Linked DNA regions of Rattus norvegicus. The protein of the gene in region 2 purifies or fractionates together with the protein of the main gene of each other region. This does not show direct contact. Links are inferred from orthologs where the notes say so. Each region holds a gene or a part of one and is shown on either strand. Other genes may lie near its edges.

Region 1 (4,694 bases), on a different chromosome or scaffold from region 2:
TTTTAGGGTGGCCTGTGGCTTGCACAGCATATCTGGTTGACAAGGAGAGAAAATTGGCTATGAAATGTCTGCATAGAGGGTATACAGGCAAAGGAAACCTGTGCAAAAGTGCTTCGTGGGGTTATTCTGCCGTGAGTTATCCCTGAGGAAAACTAGGCATGTATCTTACCAATAGACTTCAGACTGAGTAGCATCATATAGTACCTGTAAAGTATTACTTGGGATGACCTCCTAAGTCCATTTACCCATTCAACCATCTATTATCCATCCCGCAAATCGACAATTTTTTGAGATGTGCCAAATGCTATGCTGTGTACCTCGTGCAATAATGAAAATATTGTCCTTACTGTATCAGTGAGAACTACAGTCCACTGAGAATGGGGAAAGTATGAGGAATAAAGATGGTGAAACATCATTACAGATGATAAATACTCGGGATTTATTATATACTTTCTTCACTTTTTGGTAAGCTCAATACATTTTCTAATAAAGTTAGATATGAATAAAAACTGTATTTTCTTCCAAGCAAGATTTGGATTTGACGTATGCTATAACACAAGGCAAACTGCACCGTGAAGTTATTACATATAGCGTATTAGATGAGAAATGTTCATGGCAGGGTGGGCAGTGGAAGGAAACCAACCATCTTGGTGAAGGCAAGTATACTGTAGAAGGCCTAGCTCACACTGAGTGACGGATTTAGCCTCATAGAGCCCCATTTAGGTTTTAGGCTAGGTTGGAGATACTCGTAGTTCAGAGGGTGAGCAATGAAGAACTAGTCTTCTACAATGCCATCGTCTTATCCACTTCCTTCTTCCTTCCCTTGGGTTAGAGCCAGCAAATAGTATATCATCAACATGTACCAGGTACTATAGAAAGGCTGCAGGTAGTTCTGTGTGCATCTTCTCCAGAGCTGGGAACTAGGAGTCTAAAACATTCCTCAAGTTATGGGGAATGCGACACAATCAGGCCAAGGGCAGATCAAGCACACAGCCTTTCCCGATCAAAGCAGAAGAGTGAGGTCAGAAACCTGAGCTCCAGCAGTGGTAGGTTCAAATTCCGACTAGCTTTTGCAGCTTTGAACAAGTCATCTAAGCTCTCTGAGCTCACACAATTTCCTTCATTTATAAAGAGGTTGAAGTCAAACCTTGGAGGGTTTGTTGTTAGAAGCAAATTCAGACCCTCAAGATCATACAACCAAAGGAAGACTCCATAAATGGCAGCCATCATTCTTGGCCAAGTGCTGGCGCTTTCTCCTGGGCGCGCCTCCTGCAGGGTCCCTTAGGACACACTGGGCCCGCCTCCGAGGCTAGGTCTCAATGCTCACTGCTGGTGGCCCGGCATCTGCGTGTCTACCTGGAGAAAGCGAGGGGCGCCGGCAGGTGGATTGACCAGATTCCCCGAAAGGATCGCCCCCTCCCCGCGGTTCCCATCCCTGTGATGCGAGCAGGTGAGGTGTCGCCTAGGCTGCCGGGATGGCGACCGCAGGAGGGGTCGAGGCGGAGGGCGCAGCTCGAGGCCCGGGGTCCCTCCTGGTGCTGGTTCCACAGCCGGGTTAATCCTGCAGCCAGCTGGGGCTCAGGGCCGGTGGACTGCGCGCTCTGCGGCTGCGAAAACCCGGAGAGGCAGATGGGAGCGCTCGAGGCGCTCGCAGCCAACTCCTCCGCGGTCCGGCCGCCAAGCTGGGCATGCTCAGTGCGGCCGTCGCGCCGCCGTCCGCCAACTCGGGAGCTCGCGCTCCCGGGCCGTGGGGGCGAGAACGCCGGCGGCGGCGAGCGACGCCCCCAGGCAGCCGCAAACTTCGCGGCGTCCGCAGTCTGGAGAGCCAGACACCTCGCAACGTCAAATCCAATTCCCCAACCCTATCGGAGCGATGGAGGCTGCGGCCGCCAGGGCGTCCCGGCCGCCCGCCCCTGCCTAGCCGCTAGCTAGGGACCAACAGGTAAACTGTTGGGGGTGGGGATCGGGGCGCGCGACGTCTAGGGGTGGCCCGGGGAGCCGAGACGCCCGCGCTCCGGATGTGTCCGTCGGTGCTCGCGGCCACCTTTGCTCACCCCCTCCTCAGCCCCGAGAGGGCCAGCAAAGGGTTAAGTCGGCCCCGCGCCACAGCGAGCGCGGCCCCCTCCAGCCACCGCGGCCGCTGCAGCCGGCAGCCAGCAAAGCGCCCGGGCGCCGCCGAGGGGACCCGCGCAGCTCGTGCACTAGCTGAGCTCGGAGGAACCGGCCTCGCTCGGCGTCCGCATCCTCGCCTCTCGCGGCCTCTCTCCCTCCGCGCCCGCCGTTCTGTGTCTGGGCGGCGGGTCCACCGGGTGCAAAGCTGCGGGCGCGGGGCACGGCGAGCCAGGAAGTGGGCGCGGGCCGCTGCGCAGCGCCTCGCGGGCCCGAGGACGCTTAGCTCTCGGCGGGCACCGAGCCTCCCGCCTAGGCGCCAAGAAAAGTTTTTTCCCCCTTTATGCCCCTCCCCCACCCCAGCCTGTGTCCCCCTGGGTGGGTTTGGGTTCATTGGTGAAGAAAGTCACACGTTCCCATCAGCTGCTCCTCCCCCTAGGGACCGGGTGGGGGTGGCGGGAGGCCGGCGCCGCGGCGGACCCTGGCCGACCTCCAGCCCCGCCGCCGCCCGCGGAGCAGGCGTCCCGGGGCTCGGCGCAGCGGGGTGCCCACGAAGGCGGCCCCCCTGAGCGCGTCTGCGCGCGGGCAGCGGCCGTCTCCAACCTGCTTTTTCTCCTGCCTGCAGCGCCACGGCGAGCCAGAGTGGAGGGAAGAGGGAGTCTGTCTGCAAAGTGCTGCTCCCTGGTGCTCAGAGGCGGCTGCTCCAGCTCCAACTCTCATTCATTTCGCCGGTTAACATGAGAGATCATGGCCGCCTTCGGGCTTCTCAGCTATGAGCAGAGACCGCTGAAGCGCCCGCGGCTCGGGCCGCCCGACGTCTACCCGCAGGACCCCAAGCAGAAGGAGGTAAGGGCGCGGGCGGCCTCCGCGGTTGTGCGGCGCTCCGCAGCGCTGACCCCGGGCCAAGCTGGCCCGGCGGCCGTCCGCGGCGCTGCGGGGGAAGGGCTGCGGAGGGGATCGGAGGCGGGGCTCGGGTTGGGGTATCAGGGACCTGGGCTACTGAGACCTGGAGCCTGCCAACCCCCGCGCTCCACTGGGCGGTCGCTCTGCGGGGGGCTGGGTCGCTTCGCGGTTGTCGGGCCTTGCACTGCGCCGCTGGGCGCTTTACCGCTTCTTCCTCGCTTGCATCTTCCTTCTCGCTTTCCTTCGTTTCTGTTTGTTTTATTGTTTTTCACTCCGTCGCTTCGATAAATCCTGGTAAACTTTTTGACAAATGCTGGAATGCAGTACATCGGACACCGTGGTCTTGCGTTTTGCGCCAACGGTATAGGCACGGATGGGGGAGGGACCCTTTTCACATCCTCCAGTTTGGAATGGAAGTCGTTTTTAGCGAGGTGATCATATATTTGGCTCTGTGAATGTATCTCTGTATCTCTCCTTTTGAAAAAAAAAATTAAGAAAACAATATTGAAGAGAAACTCTGAAATTTGTTTCTAGAGAGGCAATCGGCTTTTCCGGAGGCTGTTTTATATGTGTAGAATCAAGCAAGTTACCTTAGAAAGGAATAGCTTTCAGGATCACTTATTTCTTTGAATGAAATTAATTGGGGAGACCTTGGCTGTTGCACTTACAGTGGCTTCAGTGGTTAGTGTAAGCTATGTAGGTATGTGGCAGGAGTTAACAAGTAATTATGTAACAAGTCTCCAGCCAGAATGGTGATTGCCCTTGGCTATACAATTTGCCCAGAGATTTGCCTATCTTTTCCTTTATCGGTCACCTGCTCCCCAGCTGTCCTTTTAGACGGTGCCAACTACAGCCCACCCATCTTCCCTTTTCTATAGTTAAATGTGAAACGGCTCTGTGTGCTCCTCTTTCTGTGAGCCGGAAAAGTTTGCATGTCCACTGATTTCACAAGAGAACTTTGCAAGTAAGAGTTCCTTTGGGCTTCTGTTTTGATAAATGTATCAGTCTCATTAGTAGAGGCTCAGCCCAGACTGGTTAATAATGTCTGAGAAGTCATCATGAGCAATGCCTTTTGGCCTTATCACATTGAATTTGAGGATCAGCGGGAGTAGTTAAGATTGAAGATGGCTGGAAAGTCTACAGGTGGGCAGCATTTCCTCACCCAGCTCCTAAGGTTTAGAAAGGATAGAGACTCTAAGGACCAAGTGTAAATAAAGGACGTTGATTTAAGCGTTACTGGTAGAATTCTAAGTTTTGGTAGGGATGGGGCGTTGACTTTGCTCATCTTATAATTAATGTCTCACTACGAGTTTATAGAGAGAGATGTAATGAGGCAGCTCCTTAGCTTCCGGTTGGTTGCTTGGATTAGCATGTGTGCTTGTTTAGCATTCAGTTTTACACATGACAGTCAGTTCAGGATTTGGACCCCGGAAGGAATAATTTTGGATTTTGGGTCACTTTCTAGAAACCTAAGACTGGAAGAAGCGACTGTAGAGGGTACCTTTCCTACTTTGGTTTGAGCAAATGAGATGATTGAAGCCCAGAAGCACTTGGTTTCTCTGAAGTGTGTGGTGAACACGCATACATAGGATTATCCGTGCAGTACTCATCCAAACCAGCACTGTGTTCTGGGTGACTTGCGCTGCTACTCTTAGGATTCACTTTCCCCCAGGCGACCGATA
Region 2 (4,652 bases):
CTGTGTCTGGAGCCGAAAGGTTGATGTCTGTCGTGGAACCGTGAGAGCAGACCATTTCAGTAAAGCTAGCTGGTCATCCTGCTACAGAGGTCCTATCCTGCCTTTTCTGCCCTCCTTGCATTAGTATGACAAGCACATACATAAACATGTATGGCTTAAAAACTTTTTTTTTTTAAACAGGTGTCTTGTCTTCTTGACAGCAGACTGTTACCTGTAAGTTAATATAAATCTTTTCTTTCCCAAGTTGTATGTGGACATGGTGTTTTATCATAGCAACAGAAATCGTATTACGACACGTGGCAAGCATTTTATCAATCTAGCCATCTCCCCAGGTCCCTTCACTAAGTTTTTTCCTCGTGGTATAACGATGTTATTAAACTGTTACCACGTTGGAATTTGTGGTAACTTAAATCTGTGTCTCTGAGCCATGATCCCTCATATTTGTCTCTAGAATAAACTATTACGTTCTTTGAGTGATAACTATTTTTCTGTTCGTAGAGTTCAGTATTAACTGAAGTGAAAACGGCTTTACCTGGCTGGAAGTATGACGATATGCTTACCTAGCACGTAGCCCGAGAATTTCATGAGAGATGCAGTCAGATGAAAGAAGAGAAACCTTAAGTAGAATTACGTGGTTTATTGTAGCATTTAGAGACAGGTAGAGGCTATAAGAGGGAAAACCTGGACTCTTGGGGCTGGAAGGGAGCAGCAATTGCCCTTTAAATCCTGGAGTTCAGAAGTGACTCCAATACAAAATAACTCCTTCACTAACGGGTGTCTTTTGCTAAACTTATATTGGATTGTACAGATGTGGCTTTGGGAAAAATAATCTCCATGCAGCAGAAACTCGTTGCGTGATGGACTACCAATCCCATCATGCAACGTTCTGAATTCGCCGCGTCGTGGTAAAGTCGGCTACAGCAGCCATCCGTGCACAAGAGCCTTGGCGTTTTGGCTGCACTGCCGACTGGGTTGGTCCACGTGGTAAGTCTGTCAGCATCTCCGCACCGCCGCTGAGCGAGGCCCTTTCGCCTGCTGGCGTCAGAAGAGGCGGCTGCCACCTCCTAAGCCGCTCACAGGTGGGGCGGAGGCAGCGCGAGGCTTTGCGACGTTTTTACGACAGCGGTTGCCGTCTTCCGAGTTCGCCCTCCCTCCTCCTCCTCCTCCTCCTCCTCCTCCTCCTCCTCCTCCTCCTCCTTCTCCTTCTCCTCCTCTCTCGGAGGAGCTACCGGCTGTTGTGTGGCGTCGCTGGTCTATTGGGGCGGATGGCTGCCTGAGTGTTCGTGAGAGCGTGTGGAAGAAGGTGAGGCGCGGACGCGCGTGGGCGAGGAGCAGAGTCAGCCGTGGCCGCCCCGCGCCGCACCCGCAGCAGCACGCGCGGCCAACCGCGCGCGAGCCGGCGCCCCGGGAGCGCGGGGACAAGGGCGGACGCCGCTCCCCGCCCCCAGCGCGTCCCTCGGCTGTCGCGCGCCCGCGGGGACCGCCCGGCGCTCCCCTGGATGTCCCCGGCGCCCGCGCGGGACCTCCTGCCGTCGCCGCGTGAGGCGGGCTGGTGCTGCGGCCGGCGGGTGTAGCTCGGGGGCTGCGGCTGCCGCGCGGCCGGGTCCCCACCGCGGCCCTCGGGCCCCCGCCCCAGCACCCCGGCCTTGGAGGCTGTGACAATGGACTATGACTTTAAAGTGAAGCTGAGCAGCGAGCGGGAGCGGGTCGAGGACCTGTTTGAATACGAGGGCTGCAAAGTTGGTCGAGGCACTTACGGGCATGTCTACAAGGCGAAGAGGAAAGATGGGTGAGTGTGGATGTCGCCGTGGGTGTCCTCGAGGCTGGGAGGCAGGTGCCTGGCCCGGGTGCCAGGGTCCCCACTTCCTCCAAGACTGCCTCTGTCCTGGCCAGCCTGATTTGGGGAGGAAGTGGTGTCCCAGGAATCCAGACTCATAAGGAACCCTTCATGCAAGAGGGAGAAGGACCTTCTGTCTCATGGGCAGTGTACCTTTTTTTGGGGGTGGGGGGGGATTTCAGTCCTGTGCAGTTTCCTTTTTAAAAGAAGATGGTTATAAAATGCCATTTTAAATATATCTGTTTTTCTTTGGTGGATTTATCCGGTAACCTTTTGGGGACTAACTCATCTGGGTCTGTATGATCTCTGTCCCGTCAGTCTGGAAGAGAAGCTGATCTTTTCCCCTTAATCAGTTGTGATCAGTTGATGACCAAATTTGGCTTTGATTGGGAGAAAGAAGAAGGCAGCGAGTAAATGTGGTTCTGGAGAGTTCCAGGGAGGATCATCTGTAATGTAAATGTAGCAGTTGCTATTCAGGTATCATTAGCTGTGAGTTTTTTATATAGAACAATGGGTATTTGGTGCAAAGTGGATGGTGTGTGTGGGGGGGAGCAAGTGAAGGATAGAGTCTATGTTGTGCAAGCTCTTAAAGCAGAATGTATCAGCTGTCAGTGAACTTTAACCTTTTTGCTTTAAATATTCTTTTCTAGAAACAAAAATTAAACCTTTGGCTGGGGATTTCTCTCAATTGAGTAAAGCGAATGGGCTCCTTTCCCTTTCATCAGTAGATGACTGCATTGTAATATTGCCAGAAGGGAAAGTACTTCTTAGTTTGGGAGAAAATATTTAATAATTTCCCGTTTCCTCCTTGTACAAATAGATATTATCTCTGCCTTTAACACTGGGAAATTATTGGGAGGATTATCATAGCTTATTATATAATTTTTTGGATTTATTAGAAACAGCTTTCTTTGAGTATCTTATTTGGCTAGTTGCTATTTCACTGCTTGGGAAATGGCTTTTTTCATGTTCACAGGAGTGCATATTCAGAATTGCATGAGCACCGTAAATGAAAAGGCTAAAGCTGGAGTAAGTCCTTCTTGAGGGAGCTTATTTATACATACTTTCCGAGTCTGGATAATGGAAAAGGAAGTGTCTGTTTATTAAACACTTCTCTTCGCTTTACTGGAATAGCTTCCTGGTTTATCATGTATTTCAGTGCTTTTGTGCAACAGGGAACCATGCAGCTCTGGGCAGAAAGGAGGGGATGGGCAATCTGGCGATCTGGGTGCCCTGTAGGTTTAAAACCTTTTTCGCAGAATGTATAAAGCAGGGACATCCAGAGCCCTCATTAATTCTTGTCTAACTAGATTTGTTTTATCAATATTAATGAATTATATTTAAAGAAATTATCCAAATCAATTTACTGCATAATAATTTTCAGAAGGGCTAAAGCATCCTCCATCCCTTAGTGCTATGTAGTTTGGGGCATGGTAATAAAATCTTCACTCCCATGACATTTGATATTATAGTACATTTGACCAGTCTGTCATTTGTTTTAAAAAAAAATGTGAGTGGTTTCTATATTTTATTCTTATAAAAACAGCCAATTCTAGTTTTATAAATTATCAGTTTAAGCTAATAAACTATCCAAATGTGTTTGAGTGTGGTCTATTTTTTTTTTCAAGTATATATGCATATAGAGGGAGATGCTTTAAACACCTTTTACATCTTGATGATCAGGTTTTCATTTAGGCTATTGCGAATAATTTCAGAAGAAACTATATAGCTTCAAATAGCTGCTGTTAGTGTGTATTTCTTAGTCATCTGTGGCAATTGCAAATGAGTATTTGCATTTGGGGGGATTGTTTTTTAAGCTGTAATCCTTTGGGTTTGTTTTCCAGCAACCTTTAATGATTCTGTTTGTTGTGATGAACCAAATTCTTTTTTGTAGCGCATCAAATGTCAAGAGAGTTTTCGAATTGGGATAGTTTTGGTTTCCGCAGGGAATACTCCATTTGGCTTGTTTATATGGCCAGGCTACTAATGTGCTACATTGTATTTATGACATACTTGAGTGAAGCACAACTTTATGCATTCTTGGACTTGGTGTAATGCCATTTGTGGCTGTTTGAATCTTCTATAGTAAGATGGTCAAGTCACTTGCTTCTGGTATTGATTTACTTTCAAATTAAATGGTATATTCTGCCACTGAGATATCCCAGTCCTCAAGGAACTTGGGCAGGAATAACACTTTAAAGAGAATCTGGAACCCTGCAGTAAAGTTAAATAATGGGGATGCCTTTGCTTGGACATATTTGGTTGTTAAAACGAATACATGAAAATGTTTCTTTCAGCTGTCCAGTAAACAGAATATGGGGTAAAGAATCTAGACTAGAGGAATTAGCTTGTTGAATTATTCAAGCTTAGGAAATCGCTTAATGATTGTGGCATCGTGAGTTAGTAATACCACCCTTCTTGTATATTATATGCCAGATAAAAAAATTCGCATCATAAGGAGTAAAGGGAGTAAGGAAGTACTTTGTTTAAAGCATGACTATACAAGATAAAGGGCCTTTTATAATCATGCTTATTTCAGGTTTTGAGAGAGTTAAAATAAGTGCACACTATATATCTTGAAATTAATTCTTCTGGGGTGTGTGTGTGTGTGTGTGTGTGTGTGTGTGTGTGTGGTTTTTCAAGACAGGGTCTCACTATGTTGCCCTGGAACTCTGTAGACCAGGCAGGCCTCAAACTCAGAGCCCACCTGCCTCTGCTTCCCAACCGATAGGATTAAAGGTGTGTGCCACCACTGCTGCCTCTAATTCGTTCTTAAATGTGCCATGAATAGATAGTGTCTTTTATTTCTGAACAC
Region 3 (4,661 bases), on a different chromosome or scaffold from region 2:
CTCATACACTGCTTTTTCTCTTCCATAAACATCTCCAATTTTTTTTTTAAAATGTACTGTGTAAAATGTACTTCCCTGTAGATCCTGATATGGCTTGCTGCTAACCCACACAATCTCAGACCAAGTGTCATCAGCAAGGCTTTCCCTGACCATGTTCTCGAAAGAGCGCCCTACTCGCTACCACAAGATAGATACCTTATCTTTCACAGGAATACAACAGAACATCGTCTTACTTTCTCTTCACTTGAGAAGATCTTAGTCTTTTCCACTGCTATAGCCGACAAGTTCTGACTGGTACCAAGCATGCTGTAGGTACTCAGTAACCATCCTCTGCCAATCTCACGCCCCAGACCAAGTGTCATGGCTGCTTCTTCACGTTCCCTCCCAAGATTAGTATTTTTTTTTCTCAATTGCCCTGCCCTTATTTTTCTAATAGCTCCTGACCTATTTTTTAAAGTGTAGATGGAATACTGTGTATAACAACTTAACACGAGAAAACTTATTATGAAATATAAATATTATTAAAGGGTAATTAACAATTTGTGAAAGATGATGCCTTGCTCTGTAGGTTTCAAGCAGGTATATGATCAGGCCAGTAGTCAAGAAACATGACAAATCTGGCCCCTCTTCGCAGATTTCAAGTCGTCAACACATTCTAGAGGGACCTAAGACTATAAAACTTACCTGGTGTAGAGACTCAAAGAATCTCTTTGTCCATCGTCTGGGTTTACACAGTACTACAAATCGGAAACCTTTCTGTGCTGGCTTCAGGTTAATAGTACGCTGGGTCAACAGCAGGATGGACTAAGGTGCTGCAATGTCAATACATGTTAACAGTGCCCAGAAACCACAGCCTGCTTCTTACACTGTTTTATGGGCTGTTTCCATGAAACCAAAGATACTTGGCTCTCCTGGAAGCTGGCTGGCAATTCCTCAGTCCTGGCTAAGGACCATGGCACTTCATCGAGTCATTCTGGCACTCTGCCGAGTGGCTTGCTTGTCTCGCCTGGCTGGGCTCTCTACGCGGTGCACAGTAGTCTCCACCCGCAGGGATGACGACGCCCTGACGTGGCGGGAGGACGTTTCCATGCACTGCGAGGAGGTTTCCACGTGCTGGGAGGACACCTCGAGGAATTGAGGGAGTCGCTTCGCGGAGGGGGTGAGGGAGGGTCCCTCTCGGTGGCGCTGGGAGGTCTCCACTTGCCGGGAAGACGTTAGAACCTGCCGGGAGGACGTCTCCACGCGGTGGGATGACGTTTCCTCGCGGTGGGACGACGTCTCCATGCGGACAGTCGATGTCTCCTTGTGGCGGGTGCTTTCCACTCGCGGGACGGAGGACTTGCTCCTAAGGGGCGAGGCCATCCTGCCCGTACACTTTGGTCAGGAGGAACAAAGAAGCCCAAGGATCATGCTCTGCGTCACGCCACCCGGGGGAAGGTGACGTCAGAGAGGTGTATTACATCAGAGTAGGCAGCAGGACTCAGACCTGAAATCAGAGAAGCCCTCCGGCACGCCCCGCTCGATATCTGCGCGCGCAGTCGGCCCGGTCCGCACAGATGGGCGGGGCCACTCTTCCCCAAAGTGAAGTTGTCCCCGCCCTCGTGTCCCACTCTGCCCCGCGACCGGAAGTAGGACCCGTGACTTCCGGATTCTCCTTCACCAATCCGGGCTGCGGTTGGGTCGGGTTGGTAGTGTTTGCGCCTTTCTGCTTGCTATGGCCGCGGCCGTCGCTATGGAGACAGGTGCGTTGTGTTTTGCACGGGAATGGTCCTTCGCCCCAAAATCCTCTCCCGTTTCCCTTCCCCTGCGCCGTCTTCCGGGCTCAACTCCTCATCCTTAGAGTTGGGACCGGCGGAGGAGAAGGCGGTGTTGCCCCCCAGAATATGGCCTGTAGGACCAACTTTGCTCCTGTGTTGCTCTAACCCCTACTCCAACCCTGACTCGCGGGGCGGGCCGGGGCGCATAGAAAGGACTGAGACCTTCCACTGTCTGCTCTTTGGAACTTCTCCAAACTTGCCTGAAATGTCGGTAACCTGTGTATTCTAATGCATATCACCGTCTTCTCTCCATTGTTTAATCATTCCTGCTTCGTTTTTGTGTAGCACTTTGTTTTTGCTTAACGTAATTAGTTGTGGTTATAACAACATAGGGAACCGTACAGCTATTGCAGACTATCCGATAATCTCCGCTCACGTCCTTCCACAGTGGCGTACAGGTTCTACATATTTTTTCCTCAACGAACTTTAAAGGATTTTTTTATTACTATTTTTGTTTTGGAAACAGGGCTCACTAAGTAGTGAATTAAACTAAATTTCTAAGGAAGTTTCTTCCACACTTTGATATTTGAGTTCATTCATGAGTGTGCATGTGTGTGTGTGTTTATGGGGGTGAGCGGCGGTGCATGCCAAGGTTAGAGGACAACTTGCAGAAATCGGTTGTCTTCCTACAACCCTGTAGGTTCCAGGAATCGAACTCAGGTCATCAGACTTTGCAGCAAGCACCTTTACTTGCTGAGCTGTTTGACCTGCGTTTTATTTTTGTTTCTACAAATCAATGTTTGTATTGTGACTTTTATTTTGGGTGATCGTTCCTTCCTTCTTTCTCTTTTTTTTTTTACTGTCTTTTCTCCTAGATGATGCTGGAAATCGACTTCGGTTTCAGTTGGAGTTGGAATTTGTGCAATGTTTAGCCAACCCAAATTACCTTAATTGTAAGTTAAGTACATCATTAACTTAAGTAGCTCACTAGATCTTAATGGTTTCTGAGAAGAGATGCAATTTGTAATAGTATTTATTTACTTCGATGTGTTTGGGGTTTTACTTGTGCTGGTCTGTAAGTATCAACTGAGCAAACAAGGGCTTGTGTTTTTTAATCCCTTGTGTTTTGTCGGTAGGGATGTTAAGAAGAGCTACTTTACTTAAGAGATTACAGATCAGCAGCCCAGCAGTGGTTGACATACAGAGTGTTTCTTTGTGTCTTTCAGTTCTCGCCCAAAGAGGTTACTTCAAAGACAAAGCTTTTGTTAATTATCTTAAGTACTTGCTTTACTGGAAAGAACCAGAATATGCCAAATATCTAAAGTAAGTTTAATTTTTAAAATCCCAAAGCTGTGTGTACTTTATTATAAATACTAAGTGCTATTATTTAGCAGTTTTCTCGGTGTCAGAATGGAAAACAGCATTTGGGATCTTTCTGCTTTTAGTTGATGTAAGACGCTGTTATCTCTAACTTGGGTTGATTATGACAGGAATTTCATTTATTTCTGCTACCATTCTTACCTCACTCCCTTCAAACAAAACCAAAGAACTGTCTACGTGGGAGCCAGCTTACTCTCTTGGCAGTGTAAGTCAGAGCATACTGTTCGTGCAGGCTAAGATCCAGTGAACTGTTGTAGACTACAGTTCTAATGTAATTTGGTCGTGTCTAACCATGTCACTTAGCACTGCCCCTGTCTTTCTGGGGTTTTGAGGCCTAACAACCCATAACCTGTGACGGTAGGAAGAACTGTTTCCTGAGAGTCTTAGAGGTCCTGCCTTTCTTTGTGGTGTCCTTTGTTTCAATCACTGTGCGTATTAACTCACTGTAAAAGAACAGACACAACAATATCACATCAAACTCTGCTTTGACTTAAAAAGAGAAAAGAAAGCCAAGCTGGCTTTAATCCCAACATTTGGGAGGCAGAGGCGGGCGCATGTGTGAGTTCAAGGCCAGAGCTGCTTCCAGGACAGCCACTCTACCCAGGTAAACCCTGTCTAGACACTGCCCCAAAGGAGGGGACAACAACAAAAACCCCAGAAGTAGCTTGGTGTCCCTTTAATCCCAGCTCTCAAGAGGCAGAGTCAGGCAGATCTCCGTGAATTTGAGGCCAGCCTGATTATGTTGCAAGCTTCAGGCCATTCAGGGCCACACAGAGAGACCCTATTTTAAAAATTAGAGGAAAACATTTCAAACCTTTTTTTTTTTTTTAATCGTAGTCATTTTTCTGACTTGATTCCTGGGCTGCCTGTAGATTTGCTCTTCATGATGCAATTCTAGATTCCTCTAGGAATCCAAATGATAGGCTTGAAATTACTATTAGAAAAGTATGGGGTTGGGGATTTAGCTCAGTGGTAGAGCGCTTGCCTAGGAAGCACAAGGCCCTGGGTTCAGTCCCCAGCTCCGAGAAAAAAAAAAAAAAGAAAAAAAAAAAAAGAAAGAAAAGTATAACATGTTACATGTTAGCAAACTTTTAGCCACCTTCAAGCTCAGTCTCTCCAGCCCAGCTGTTGAAAGATGATTGTCTCCGCTCTGTTGGAGGCTCCCTATGATCATAGGTCCCTCTACTATTAGAGGCAGCTTACTCCATTGATAGCCAGAGGTAAGGGAGCTCTTCTTATATACTCTGATCAAATACACCTCCTTGTAGCTCTAAGCCGTTTGTAGGCTTGTTCCTTATTCTGTTCATCTGTGTCCTCTTGGAGGTAACAGCTATAGATGTTTAAATTCGAGAGAAGTTGTGAAATAACTCCACTATATCTTGCATAATGTTCTGAATAACATGGTAGGAGTGATTTTACCAAAGGTACCATAGTAGTAGAAATGGTGGGCTTGAGATCATTTTTAGGGGAGTATCTGATTTAGAACTTGGGATGCCTTAAATTATGTTGATAATTGACTTATGA

The links. Proteins that work in one complex are often made in the same cells at the same time.
Region 1: the proteins of Cdk8 (region 2) and Med12l purify together in Homo sapiens (affinity purification with mass spectrometry; 3 studies listed by BioGRID and IntAct, counting the BioPlex papers as one, with this or other methods). This does not show direct contact. The link is inferred for Rattus norvegicus from reciprocal best matches to the Homo sapiens genes CDK8 and MED12L.
Region 3: the proteins of Cdk8 (region 2) and Med31 purify together in Homo sapiens (affinity purification with mass spectrometry; 7 studies listed by BioGRID and IntAct, with this or other methods). This does not show direct contact. The link is inferred for Rattus norvegicus from reciprocal best matches to the Homo sapiens genes CDK8 and MED31.

Annotation. Positions count from the first base shown.
Region 1 is NC_086020.1:145,401,627-145,406,320, forward strand, and holds the start of Med12l (mediator of RNA polymerase II transcription subunit 12-like protein), read left to right. Parts: upstream 1-1,691; 5' UTR 1,692-1,942; intron 1,943-2,734; 5' UTR 2,735-2,856; coding exon 2,857-2,955; intron 2,956-4,694. UniProt on the Homo sapiens protein: May be a component of the Mediator complex, a coactivator involved in the regulated transcription of nearly all RNA polymerase II-dependent genes.
Region 2 is NC_086030.1:13,914,988-13,919,639, reverse strand, and holds the start of Cdk8 (cyclin-dependent kinase 8), read left to right. Parts: upstream 1-1,647; 5' UTR 1,648-1,661; coding exon 1,662-1,789; intron 1,790-4,652.
Region 3 is NC_086028.1:57,335,887-57,340,547, reverse strand, and holds the start of Med31 (mediator of RNA polymerase II transcription subunit 31), read left to right. Parts: upstream 1-1,658; 5' UTR 1,659-1,714; coding exon 1,715-1,742; intron 1,743-2,632; coding exon 2,633-2,710; intron 2,711-2,983; coding exon 2,984-3,080; intron 3,081-4,661. Other genes in the region: C10h17orf100 (uncharacterized protein C17orf100 homolog), read right to left, coding at 961-1,362. UniProt on the Homo sapiens protein: Component of the Mediator complex, a coactivator involved in the regulated transcription of nearly all RNA polymerase II-dependent genes.